2 linked regions of the Astyanax mexicanus genome follow. The protein of the gene in region 2 interacts with the protein of the main gene of each other region in a pairwise test. Links are inferred from orthologs where the notes say so. Each region holds a gene or a part of one and is shown on either strand. Other genes may lie near its edges.

The links.
Region 1: the proteins of lsm1 (region 2) and clic1 interact in binary tests that used the Homo sapiens proteins (3 or more experiments, as listed by UniProt). The link is inferred for Astyanax mexicanus from reciprocal best matches to the Homo sapiens genes LSM1 and CLIC1.

What each region holds. Positions count from the first base shown.
Region 1 is NC_064409.1:76,647,665-76,654,497, reverse strand, and holds the start of clic1 (chloride intracellular channel protein 1), read left to right. Parts: upstream 1-3,824; 5' UTR 3,825-3,950; coding exon 3,951-3,992; intron 3,993-6,833. UniProt on the Homo sapiens protein: In the soluble state, catalyzes glutaredoxin-like thiol disulfide exchange reactions with reduced glutathione as electron donor. Reduces selenite and dehydroascorbate and may act as an antioxidant during oxidative stress response.
Region 2 is NC_064419.1:32,067,276-32,075,095, forward strand, and holds lsm1 (U6 snRNA-associated Sm-like protein LSm1), read right to left. Parts: upstream 3,007-7,820; 5' UTR 2,890-3,006; coding exon 2,844-2,889; intron 2,223-2,843; coding exon 2,154-2,222; intron 1,669-2,153; coding exon 1,553-1,668; intron 942-1,552; coding exon 771-941; 3' UTR 388-770; downstream 1-387. Other genes in the region: bag4 (BAG family molecular chaperone regulator 4), read left to right, coding at 4,220-4,354, 5,769-5,894, 6,168-6,362, 6,532-6,798. UniProt on the Homo sapiens protein: Plays a role in the degradation of histone mRNAs, the only eukaryotic mRNAs that are not polyadenylated. Probably also part of an LSm subunits-containing complex involved in the general process of mRNA degradation.

The DNA of each region.
Region 1 (6,833 bases), on a different chromosome or scaffold from region 2:
CAAAATATTTTAAAGTATTTTAAAATAATGATATAACAGTTTACTTAATGATAAGAAAAAAAATGTGCAGGATTTTTTGTTGTTGTTAATTTTACATGTCAGGGCTTCCATAGTATGGAATTAGTCCCATATAGGAATATGCATTCTTTTTTTAGATTATTATAATGCTGATTGTAACCCATTTCCCCCCAAATTGGAAGGCCACTTACCATATTTTTTGCACTATAAGGCGCAAAAACCAAGCTGAACTGCTTGAATTTTTGCACCAGGAGTAAAGGCATAAAGCTATCCAAAAGCAGTGTGTAAGACTGGTGGAGGAGAACATGATGCCAAGATGCATGAAAACTGTGATTAAAAACCAGGGTTATTCCACCAAATATTGAATTCTGAACTCTTAAAACTTTATGAATATGAACTCTGAAGTTCTGTATCATTTTTTTTATTTCAAACATTTCTCATTTTCTGCAAATAAATGCTCTAAATGACAATATTTATATTTGGAATTTGGGAGAAATGTTATCTGTAGTTTATAGAATAAAGCAACAATGTTCATTTACTTATAAATATAAAATCAGAGAAACTGATTCAGAAACTGAAATGCGCTCTTAATTTTTTTCCAGAGTTATATGTGAAGTTAGACTCCACCCCTTTTCCACCTGCAGTTAATCAAAGCAGCATCACCTAGCAGCCAAAACTGACTCTTAATGCTCTCATAACTTGGGATCTGTATTTACTGATTGAACAGTGAAGCACCTCTGTAAGTCTTTCAGGATAAAAGCCTCTGCTGAATGACGTAAATGTAAAAGTAGGAGTTAAAGGTCATTCCAAGTAATCCGCGACAATACCCGCTATGCAAATACTGAATATTTGAATTGGACTTTGCATCTTTAGTCATTTACAGCCTACAACACATTGGCTAGACAAACAACCATTATATAAAATATAATGGAATACCCAATGGAAGGTAGCCTGGTGGGCAAGACTACAAACTGGTGGTATCTATCTATCTATCTATCTATCTATCTATCTATCTATCTATCTATCTATCTATCTATCTATCTATCTATCTATCTATCTATCTATATAATTCCAAACCATCCAGCTGAACAAACTACTAATGTTTTTTTAACACTCTGAAGAACCATTATTTAAGTATCCAGATGGTGTGTAGTACCATTGGCATTACTAAAGCACTGTTTAAAATTGTATTGTCTATTGTCGTGTTCATAATACAGACAAAGACTCCAGATGACATCACCTTTAGACAACACCACGACACCATGGCTACCATATGTCACTCTGGGTGGTCACATGACTGTGTGACTAACACAAATGTTTTGGGGGGGTGTATGTATTAAATTATTCAACACCAACTTTTTAACCTTGCAGTGCATTAGAGAAATACAGTACGTTATTGCGTAAAAGATACTAAACACTTTAAAGAAAAGTCTTGCATAGCTACGATAAGATAAGAGTAAGATATGTTGCTTTTTTCTTTTACTTTACAAACATCTGACCAGCCTTATCTGCAAGGACTGAGGACTAGTCAAGGTCTGACCGCTCTGATAAAACCTGTGGTAATACTGTACATACTGTATATACAGCACAACCTGGCTAAGAGGCTAAAAGCTAATGCTAGGTTGATAAGAGAAGGGAGAAGGATTGATTGCATGCAGACTGCAGGCTAACATATGCTAGGACTAAACCTAATCAAGCCAATTGGCTATAATCTCGTAAGTTATGATAAACAAATACTGTACTGATTGGACAACGAGAGCATGGCAACACAATCCAGTATGATTTAGAAATATAAGGGATGCACCAGAACGAATATATTTGGCTAAAATCAAAACCAAACAACATAAAACACTTGTCTAAAAGACAAATATTTAATATTAAATATTTTCAGCTGTTCTTTAAAGAAATTACAATTTAAAAATATTTATTAAACACACACCTCACGCACAATGTATGGACAGTTGACTGTTGTCAGGGTTTAAATCGGTCTGGGGGGTACCGTCTTCCTATGACAAGCTCAAGCTGTAGCCTGAACTCCAGCCCAAAGTTCCCTCAGTTTCCTACCCTATTGTTAACCTCAGTAGTGCTTTTCTAATCATTAATTTACTCCAGAAGTGCATGTTTAGTCACAAATGTGCCTCAGTAGTGCCACTTAAATCACATGTGAAGGAAATGTTCCTAGATGAAGGCAGCTAAGCATTACCTAAGCTAATGTTATTATCCTAGCCCTGTACAGCTTGTATTTTTAGCTGGAAAAAAATATATAGTAAAGAAAGAACAGATTGGATGCTGTACGCTTCACTTTGACATCACTAAAAACATGTGTAACAGTGTTAGGCTAGTTTGTGTTAGGCTATGCTAAAAGTCTTACACAAAGCTTTTACATTCACTACTGTGTTATACTCCACAACCTTCCTTTTTACTGATTGTCTGCATCTAAAAAAAAGCTTATTTAAGGTCTATTTGGACTTAAATAATCAACTGTACACCAAAATCTGTACAATTTATCAATTTAGCAAGGAGCCTGGCCAACTATTATCCCTTCTATTGCACCAAAAGCACAAATGAACAACACCAGAGGGCGCCACAGTGAAGTGATAATGTTTATAATGGACTTTTAGAGTTCTGGAATTTTTTCGGATTGACTAACCTTCATTTCTTAAAGTCATATTTTATTTATTTAGTTGAGTAGTTGTTGCCTCTCATAATCTGGATTAGAGCATTACTCAAATATTCACAATTCACTGTATACCTGTAACTCTACCTCTTCACTACTTTACTTTAACTGATGCTCTCAAACACTTTATTAAGAGACAAGAAATTCAAGTAATTAACTCCTGATGAGTTCGGCACAGCTGTTAACTGAAAGCCTGAATTCCAGGTGACTTAACAATAAAACGTTTTTTTTTATATATACCATATATTTTAATGGCTTTTTAATATTAGGACTATGTACATTTTAAAATTTGAATTATGTAAAAAATATATATTTTTTAAATAGCGAGTTTTACAAACTTTATCATGTTTATTAATTACGATCCCACATCATGCAATTGGATTAGCTGCTGTAGCCTTGCCTGCTGTGCTGGGATTGGCTAAGAAACCACCCTTCTTTCACAATGTATCCAATCATGTTGCAGAGAGGGTGGGACTTTCAGGGTTTTTTTTTCATAGTACCTTATATTTCATGCTACATTTATATGATAAAATGTTTATTTTTTTTCTTGATTTGTCTTAGTCAGTTTACAGATTTCTATTGTTTTTTTTTTTACATTTTATAACAAAATAAAACCTAATAAAAAATCTATCACAAAATAAAACTGCAGTAACATATGAAATTATCACAATATTTTTATTGTAGCTTTAGCTTAAAAAAATACCCTGAAATAGCGTGATATTATTTTATGCCAATATCATCCTCCTTTAATATATACTATAAATAAAACTAAATAAATGTCTATAGTCAACAACATGACTTTTGTTACCTTAGGTTTTTTTTATATATATAAGATTTAATTTATTTTTTTATTTATAGCGAGTTTTACCAACAGTTCCTGCAATGGGATTGGCTGATGTAACCTTAACTGCTGCACTGTGATTGGCTAAGAATCCACCCTTCTTTCGCAATGTCTCCAATCAGAAACCAGAGGGGGTGGGACTTTCTCGTTCTTGAACGGCGGGATGCTCTTGATGTACAATCAGCCCAGCCAATCAGCTTCTCGTTCTGGAACGCAGAAGTAAACCCACGAGCGAATCAGAGCGCAGGGCGGCGTGGCCTGTCTGAATACAGGTGTGTTAAGAAAAGTGTAGGAACGGAAGTTAAGTCGACTCGGAGGAGCGGCGCGTGCTGGTTTTAAGCGCAGCAGAACTTATTAAATTAATTACTATTAATATTCCGGGTTATTTGAGGGTTTTGGAGACTTTAGAGCATCATGAGCGACGAGGGTCAGCCGGAAGTGGAGCTTTTCGTCAAGGTGAGTTTGAGTTTCTTTAGGTTTCTCTATCTAAACTGTGTTTAAATTGGTTTTAAACTGGTTTCAGAGCCAGAAGTGAGGATAATTTGGTTTAATCATGGCTCAGACTGGCAGGTATATCAGTTAATGGTCTGATTAGAGGTGTGGAAGGTGGAGAAAGCTCTGTAGAATAAACTATCAGAGATAAGGATGAGGATAAGCAGAGCCAGGTGCAGCTCCCACAGCCTGCTCACCTGTGCAGACTGGTCAGATCCTCAGCACCAGCTGATCTGTACTGGGTTCTGGTGTGGTGGTGGTTCTGCTGGGTCAGTACTGGTCTGGATGGAAGGAGGTGGTGGTGGAGCTGGGCTGGGTTTTGAGGCGTTGGCGCTCGAGAGGAAACGCTGCGAGCTGCAGTTCACCCTCAAACACAGGCTGGAGTGTGTGTGTGTGTGTGTGTATGTGTGTGTGTGTGTGTGTGTGTGTGTGTGTGTGTGTGTGTGTGTGTGTGTGTGTGTGTGTGTGTGTGTGCGCCCGTATGAAAGCAGGCATTGTGTACTGGCACAGTTCTGAAGGCCAGAAAGCAGCTTTAGTGCTCCAGTGTCCAACAGCCCAGAAAAGAAGAGCAGCACTCAGAGCAGGTCAGCTAGAACAGACCATAATATTCACTAGTATAATAGTGTAAAACAAAAAAAAACCCCTCAAATTTTAAAGTTTCCATAATAATAGAATAAAAGGAATAATCAGAAAAGTACATTTTCTCTAGAAATGCAGAATGGTTGTGCAGCTAAACTGATTCGGACTGGTTCTGATTGCTGTGGGGTTGCTAATTATTTACTTGGTGGTTGCTAAGGTGTTGTGGAATGTTTGCTTGGTGGTTGGTAAGTGGTTACTAATGTGTTACTTAGTGGATAGTAAGGTTTTTCTATGTGGTTGCAAAGGTGTTCCTATGCTGTTCAAAAGTTGTTGCTAGATGGTTGCTATGGTGTTGCTAGGTAGTTGAACAGCCCGAAAAAAAGGAGAGCACTCAGAGCAGGTCAGCTAGAACAGACCATAATATTCACTAGTATAATAGTTAAAAAAAACAGAAACCACCAATATTAAAGTTACCATAATAATAAAACAACAAGGATAACCAAAAAAGTACATGTTCCCTAGGAGACACAGTATGGTTGTGCAGCTAAAGTGATTCGCACTGGTTGCTGTAGTAACCCAGGTGGCTGCTGTGGGGTTGTGAGGTGTTTTCTAAATGGCTACTAATTTGTTACTTGTTGGCTGATCAGGTGTTTCTGTGTGGTTGCAAAGGTGTTACTATGCGGCCAATATGTTGTTGCTAGATGGTTGCTATGGTGTTGCTAGGTAGTCCAACAGCCCAGAAAAGAAGAGCAGCAATCAGAGCAGGTCAGCTAGAACAGACCATAATATTCACTAGTATAATAGTTAAAAAAAAAAAAAATCAGAAACCACCAATATTAAAGTTTCCATAATAATAAAACAACAAGGATAACCAGAAAAGTACATGTTCTCTAGGAGACACAGAATGGTTGTGCAGCTGAACTGATTCACACTGGTTGCTGTGGTAACCCAGGTGGTTGCTGTGGGGTTGCGAGTTGTTTTTTTTTCAAGTGGCTAATAATTTGTTACTTGGTGGCTGATCAGGTGTTGCTATGTGCTTGCAAAAGTGCTACTATGCGGTCCATAAGTTCTTGCTAGATGGTTGCTATGGTAATGTGCTGGCTGCTGTGGCATTGCTAAGTGGTTGCTAGGTAGTTGAACAGCACAAACAGGAAAAGGAGCACTTAGAGCATGGTCAGTTAGAACAGACCATAATATTTATTACTATAACAGTAAAAAACGAAATAAAAAGAAACCACCAATATTAAAGTTTCCATAATAATAAAACAACAAGAATAACCAGAAAAGTGCATTTCTCTAGGAAATACAGAATGGTTGTGCAGCTGAAGTGATTTGCACCCATTGCTGTGGTAACCCAGGTGGTTGCTGTAGGTTTGCTAAGTAGTTATTTGCTGGTTGCTAAGGTTTTGCAGAGTGTTTGCTAGGAGGTTGCTAAGTGGTAACTAATTTGTTACTTAGTGGTTGCAAAGGTGTTACTAAGCAGCCAATATGTTGTTGCTAGATGATTGCTATGGTGTTGCTAGGTAGTTGAACAGCCCAGAAAAGAAGAAAAGCACTCAGAGCAGATCAGCTAGAACAAACCATAATATTCACCAGTATATTAGAAAAAATCAGAAACCACTAATATTAAAGTTACCATAATAATAAAACAACAAGGATACCTAAAAAAGACCTTTTTCTCTAGGAAATGCAGAATGGTTTTGCAGCTAAAGTAATTTGCACTGGTTGCTGTGGTAACTCAGGTGGATGATGTGGGGTTGCTATAAGGTGTTGCAAAGTGTTTGATAAGTGGCTACTAATTTGTTACTTGGTGGCTACTAAGGTGTTGCTATGTGATTACAGAGGTGTTACTATGCGATCGATATGTTGTTGCTAGATGGTTGCTATGGTGTTGCTAAGGTGGTATGATTGCTATGGTAATGTGTTGACTGCTGTGGCGTTGCTAAGTGGTTGCTAGGTAGTTGAACAGCACAAACAGGACGAAAAGCACTCAGAGCAGGTCAACTAGAACAGACCATAATATTCATTACTATAACAGTAAACAACACAATAAACAGAAACTACTAAAATATTAAAGTTACCGTAATAATAAAATAACAAGGATAACTAGAAAATGACATTTTCTTTAGGAAATGCAGAATGGTTGTGCAGCTAAAGTTATTTACACTGGTTGCTGTGGTAACCCAGGTGGTTGTTGTGTGGTCGCTATAAGATGTGGCCGAGTGT
Region 2 (7,820 bases):
GTAAACTAGTTTGATACGATTTCATTCACCACCACTGTGAACAAGATTAAGTTTGGTACATTTCTCTAAAACATAACTTGTTTTCAGTATTTGGCGACACCATAAGGCAAATGAGGGAATTACACAGACACTGCAAGCTAGCAAGTAACGCTGGAGAAGTACTTGAAAAGTCACAACATAAGTGTGGAATTGAATGCTTCTCTTAAAATATTCTCAACCCAACATCATACAATTATAGAAAAGGTTAGTTTTATATATTTTGTTTTCATGTAAACTGGCTCCCCTTAAGGTAAGTAAAGAACTGGAAAGGTGGTTAATAAAATGCAATCAGGCAAGAACAGACTGCATTTCACAAATCATTTGTCGCACAAAGGAAACCACTCAATATTATTCAGTACAAAATAGGTTTAATAGAACAAAAATATCTTCAGTGCTGTTTAGCGTGATTTAACATAGCATACCAACATAAACGCCACCATAACATCACCTCAACGACACAAACACTGAGTTTAAGGTTCCATTATTCTTCTCTACAAAGTTCAAAATAAAAGCCAGCAGGCCAAGTGCTTCCGTTTGGTCCATCTTCAGTTTCAATACGGCACCATCGGCCGTAAAGGAAAAGATGGTAATGGTCACGCAGAGCATGACTTACATAAAAACAAAAACGGTCATGATCACAGTCTTCTGTGATGCATTCATTGAAGGTCACGTGTGTAATACTCACTAAAACTGAAAACAAAACAAGCAAAAAAAATTAACCTAAAGGCGTCTCAGAAATCATCCAATGTGTCTGCTTTAGGGATGGACAAGCCTCGCTCCTTTACTGCCTGTAGTTTCCGCTTCTCAGACTCCTGCTTTGCCTGCTGCTCCACCCGCTGCTCCTCCAGAATTTCCTCAATGGAAACTCTCTGAAGGATCTGATCACATTCTTTATCTAGGTCCTACAGAGCAGACAATAAACAAATCCAAACAGGAGAGTGTAGGTTAAATTCCAATAAAACATGCTTCTTAAATTCCCCTCATTCATAACACATCTCAGCTCTCCTCCTTACCCGTCCAATAAAATAGTATTATTCTACATCATGTTTATTGCACCCAGATCATAGTTGTGGGGAAAAAAAAAAAAAAAAAAGTGCGCACAATGCAGCCACACTGATTTGGTCAGTCCACCGTATTAAAAGGTTAAAGGTAAGCTCAACCCCTGGTACCAAAATAATTCCCAAATTTCCCACAGCAGGGTGTTAATATTTAACATTAACAAGTTTCTCTTATTTACCTTTTACATTTTAAATTTCCATTGAGTCCATGACTAGAATTAATCCTTGGCCAGGTATTTGGCCCTTAATGCAGGTACTGTGTTACACACCAAGGTACTATTCACACTATAGCCCTTCATTAGGTTGACTGATATTTCCCCAGCATTCTCTAAAGCCTGTCAATCCTAGCAACAACAAACAAGGCTTATGTTTAATACCATGACTCATTTTGCTTAATCTTATTTTAATGGAAACATTTCCAGAAAGAAAAATAAACAAAAACTGTGTAAACTTACTACTTCTCCAAGTAAGACAACATTTTCTCCTCTGACAACAAAGATCCCTCGGGGTATGTCTCCAAACTTCTTACCAACGTGGATACGTTCCACTGTTTGATGCAAAACTAAATTTGCTGTTAAAGAGAACAGAGATCAAATATTAACAACCTGTTAATGAATAACATACAACTGACAAGGATGGGCAGAACAATACTGATGCAAATAAACTTCAAATACTGACCGTGCTGCTAATGCAGTGAGATCATTTGTTATTCGGTAGTTAGCACCATGGCTTTATATTCTATGCACCCTCAAGCAGTTTTAAAATAGATGTACCATATAATATAGATCAGTGCATCCATGCTAAAGGCAGGTTACCACTTCATTGTGAAAGGGCATCGAATAAAAGTGAAGCATGGAACAACTTAAACGATGTCCAACTACTGCCAAGCACACCTAACGCCTCTTAATCCAACTCTGAGGAACTTTAGTAAGCTCATTTTAATGGGTGTCAGTTCAGTGGGAAACACTGGTGTACATATAAATATATTATACTGATCATACTGAGTGGTTCACTTGGATCTGTTATTTTACTTCACTGAACACTGGATCTACTTACCAAACTGATCTATACTTCTGAGGATCCCAATCAGTGTTCTCCCATCTCTGAGCAGAACAAGGTGCTTTTCTGGAAGAAAAACAAAAACAGATCAGACAGACAGAAAGCTTATTTGCTTAAAAGACATTTATACAGTTTCATGCAACAACAAAACTGGCAAAATAAGTCACACAAAACAGCCTTCCTTGGATTTGTTATGTCATCCTAAGAATTCATAAAGAGCTAGTTCAATGTTCGCCAGCTCCAGCTGTGTTATATTTAACTTTTAGCATTTTAGCAAGTCTATAAAGGTTTAATTTGCAAGTACTTAAGTGGTTGTAGTTGTTAGCGATCTAGCTAGCTATCTAATGGCCCAAACCCTGAAGACCACCTCCAGGTTCATCTTGGGAGGAATGAGGTGTAGAGAAAAAAAATACAATATGTATAAATTGTACACAGTTCGTGGTCAGAAACGCAAGATTAAACACACTTAGATTATCTTTAGCAGTAAGAAAGTTTAAGATAGCTAATTGCTTTAAATTTCCACTCCACCTTAAATAGGGCAGCAGGTACATTACTGTGCTAGCTGGACTCAGAATATAATCACTGCACCATTTAAGGTGGACCGAACAATTCCAATTACAACGCAGCTATTTGGAGTTCCAGCGGCTTTAGGCTGGGTAGTAAAGCCCAGCGGAGCTTTTAACTTACTGTCGATGTCCTCAATGAGGCTGGCGGTGCCTGGCATGTAATTCATCCTGCAGACATGCGGGGAGTTTAAAGCACAAAAAACCTAGAGACAGTGTGATATCAAACCTCCTGGCACCCAAACTAACTACAGCAGCAGCGCTCTTATAGCACAGCTTCCGGGGCACGCTCACCCCTTTAAAGGGCCCACTCGCATTTTATAAAACAAATCTTTTTACAAAAGATATGTTTTATATTCGTTTTTGAGATTTTTTTTGCAGTTTTATTTATATGTAATGTTAATTTAAACGCACCATGCATTTTTTTTTATCATTTATCTATAAGCTTAATAATTATTTTAATTATTATGCTTTTATTTTGTAGTGCTTTCTTCCCACGTATTTATTTATTAGAGATTTTATCTGTTATTTCCTTTGTAACTGTTATTTATTTATTTATTTATGTTCATTTACTATGTTTGTGATCTATTTCTGTTTAATCCTTTAGCTGTATTTTACATTTTGCTTCACTCCAACTGATTTGGAAGCTACCGTCTCAAGAACAAGGTTGTCAAAATACAGTAACTTTAACAATTAAATGTTGAATCAGAGCTTATGACAGAAATTATAGTTACAGATAAAAAATAAACAAACTAATTTTGATTTTACAAAATCATAATCATACATAAAATAAGATATCGTTTACTTTATAATATAGAACTCTCTAAAAAAAAAGAGTATCAATATATTTTGTATTTCAAATTTATAAATACATTTTGTACCCCTGACAAGGCACAGAAACATCTTAACATCTAAACATATCTCGAAATATCACGGAATAACAAATATATAATTTTAAGTATGTCATTTATCCTTGGGATTTGTATTATTTATGCAGAAAATATATTTTACAATATTTTATCCAATTAATTTTTTCAAAAGCAAAGAGTTATATTATATTTTTAATGCTTCGATTCGATTGATTAAAATACATATAAAGCAACGTACATTGTAACCCAGCTTGTGATTGGCTAGCTCGTTTTTGTGCACATTGTGATTGGCTAGATATTCCTGTCCCTATTTGTGATTGGCTGCTTGCTTTTTTCTGTGACAGTCAGCAGCACTTTGCTGTTATGCGTGAATATGTTTAATTAATTGAACTGTAGAGCTAAAGAAGGATATCAGTAACGCGCTTTTACAATAATTTTTGCCATAAAAAATATATATATGAATACGTTATAAGATTTAAATAAATATTTAATTGCTCAGGTCAGGCTACAGCACCGCGCAGATTCAGTCACACTGCAGCTACACCCGACACGATGGCGAGAATGATGGGTTAATGAATTAGTAATAATAAAAATAATCATATTAATACCAATAACGTGCTGTTAGCAGTGGATGGCCTACGACTCAGCCGGAGCGGAGAGAAGCGGGGAGGCGGCGTGGCTACTGCAACAGCAGCGGCACATGCAGCAGCCGAAAGCGGGCTGGAGCCCCGGGTACAACCCGGAGAGCAGCTGGAGCGGAGCGATGGTAAGAACCGGGGCTAGGCTAGGCTAAGCTAAGCTAAGCTAAACTACGCTAAGCTAAGCTGTGTTTGACACCAGTGTATCATTCATACAGAAGCAGCTTAACGTTTTATTTACATTTAATACAAATGCATCTTAATAATACACGGTTTTAATTCACTTTGTGTAAAAGTTTACGCAGCTGACTTTGAGCAAACTGTGCCGTCCTATTCAATTAGCTTTAGCATAGCATCTCTTACCAGCTATTGCCAGCACTTCAGTTACTAACCTTCACTTAAACTGTAGTAGCGTTGACATGTTAACCTAGTGTGTTTTCTATGTAGTTAGCTAGCTCACATAAATATACAACCCTGATTTACTTTGCAGAGAGATGTTCGTTTTATTGCCTAAGTTTGTAGTTTAGTTGAATAAGTTATCAGACCGGCCATTGCTGGCTTTGGTCAGCAAGTTGGTTATCTAGAGAAACAGGACTTATTGCGTAAAATTAGGTGGCCTTTATACAAGCAGTTAGCTATAGCTAGGTTTGCTAGTGTGTTTGGGTTGTTAATAAAAGTTGGATATCCTAAATTATCCCATTTTCTGCATAGCAGCGATATAATACTGTCAGAATTTACCAAATGTATCCCTACACTACTGGTAAAGTTGTAACCTAAGTGCACCTTATCTTCAGTGTTGGAGAACCAAAGCTTCCTGAGTGCTTCTGTTCTGTACTGAAATAATGCCTTTCAGATCTGATACCTATTTTTATTTCTATACAGTTAGCATAAAGAAACCTTTACTATGTCGGCTTCGTTGTTTTTTAATTGATTAAAACAGTCACACTTAAAATAAATTTCAATTCTTTACAGCAAATGTTGTCATAGAGCAGCTCTGCAGAGATCTGGGTCCAAAAGTGACTGCAGAATGAGTGGTCAAATAGTACTTTATTATTTCAATTTGTGCTTATTGTAAAAACAGGTCATGTATTATAAAAATCTGAGTAACTGCAGAACACATGCTAAATATTAGTACTGATGAAAGTGGTGTCCATAAGTCCTTAAAGGCTGAACAGTCCCATGCTGTCATGCAGAATCATCCTGCTGTGAAAGAATAATAGCCAGGGTTTAAAAGCAAAAAACAGGGAAAAGAGATAGCAGGAACAAAAATAACATCATAACAAACAAAGGAAAATTCGCAGAATATGGGAAATTGCCATGCAAGTAGTGGCATCAGCCTTAATGATGTACCAACATTGAGGAGAAAACAAGAGGCAGCTTATAATATGGGCTAGAGAAGGATAAACATATGTACAGTTAATGTAAAAGTAATGTTACAAAATAATTTGTATTATTTCTTCAATTCAGCCATATGGTGAACCACTAATATAGTGGTGACAACTACTATAGGACTAACATCATGTAATTTCTGCTTTACGGCAGGACTCTAATCCATATTGTGGCTATCCACCAAACTACTGGTACCCTCATTCGCATACTGCTGGACCGTATAGTAACACATACCCCTCTGGAGCAGAGGTCAATGGACAAGCACCGTACAATCCCCAGGTACAGTACCACATCTTCCTTCTTGTCTTAACACAGTGCTTAAAGTTTTTTTGCAGATTCACACTGGATAAAAAAAAATACACTGACTAATGCACTGATTAATACTGACATAAAATCATGCTACAATTATTGCCTTCATACTGTTAAAATTACACAGACTGCAGATTCATAGTAGATTAATTGTATTAGAGTAATACTAATTATATTAGAGTATTAAAGGTGTTTGGTATATATACTTTTTATGAAAATCAAACTGCTGTGCCTTTATTTCAGGCAATGTCAGGCTATCCCAATGGGGTGTACAATCCAGGACAGTACTCAGCCAATATGATGCACCCATCCAATCCGTTCTACTGCAGTGAGCAGATTCCTCCACGGCAACCACCTCAGTATCATAATCAGGGCTGCGCTGATCGGCCCGCGGGGAATTCTACTCAGCCTCCCTATGCTGTACCGCATTGCCAAGGGGTAGGTGATGATCCACTATTTAACCTTTTATGTTTGCTCATGTTTTTAGTGGTATCATTCGTTATATCGTATAGTAAAGGTCACAGCTTTTGATATGACTGGCCAGCTAAACACATACGTTTTTAAGGTTTAATAGTACAGCCTCTGTTCTTGTTCACTGTTCTTGCAGGGTCCTGGATATCCCCCTAATTCGTACCCACACTATGGAGATGGATGCCCCTCCAACCCTGGGTATCCCACCCAGCAGGCCATGCACTCAAGGCCCCAGCCTGAAGCCTGGCCCCATTCAGGCGGATATGGGCCAACACAGCCTCAACAGCAGTGGCAGCCTGGCACCCAGCCAGCTCACGGGCCATACGCTAACCATGCTAACCACGTCCGACCTCCACATCCTCCACCCTGGCAGGGGCCTGCGCCACCTCCATATGAACATAAGGTATCCAAGCTGTCTGTACATTAACTCGTCATTTTATAGCATTGATGGTCAGCAAAGAGTGGGTTTAGGTTCAGTTCTGGTCTGTGTGTCAAACTGACTAAAATCAGGCTCACAAATGTGAATTTTCTGAACCACAGAATGGAACTGTAGTATTGGAATGTATGTTTACTTGTGTGTTTGTGTCTCTGGTGCTTTTTTGTGAGCAACCATGATTTTTATGTTTAGCTTCTATTCTTGTTGCTTTACAGTAGTATCTTTAGGCTAGTTTGTTTCAAAGCTGTTTTGTTGTTTTGTATAGTAGGTGGTTGCTAAGGTGATGCTCAGTAGTTGTTTCGAAGGGTGGAGTTATGGCATCACAGATTGCTTCCAAGGGTGTTGCTACCATTTTTTTTACTGCTGTATGAAATAAGATGAACAAAGATTTTAATCTTGTTGCATGCACTGTGTTGTTTACCTTAGTTTTTTACAGATGTTATATGTTTTATTGATATGTTGTTTTATTTAATCAGGGAAAGGATAAAACACAAATGATTTGTCACCTCTATTTCTATTTTTCTGTTTTTGGTCAGACTGAGGGTTTCTAGAAATGATAAAGTGATGAATGTTGTGTTTCGAAATATCATCTTCATTAAAAGGAGGAAGAGTATAACTTTGCTAAACAGGGTTAAATAACTATTGAACATGTTACTGCTTCGGTTACCAAATATAGGTGCAAGCAGTGGTCACTTAAAACTGTTTTAAGTCAGAAAAATATAGTCAATTCATAAATAAAGGTACAATCATCACTTCAATACGTGTATCACCACAGTTAGGCCTAATTGCATGCTTTCCTCAAGACCATAAACTCCAACACACATGTTCTACACATCTAAACGTGTGGGCTAGCCAAAGATATCTTAGGTCAGATGAGGTGCTGTACTCAAGCAGAGAGTTCAGTACACAGTCTTTCAAGCCTTTCAAGTCCTTCTGTTTCTCTCTCACACACACACACGCGCACACACACAGGAATAGCTTAAAGGAAC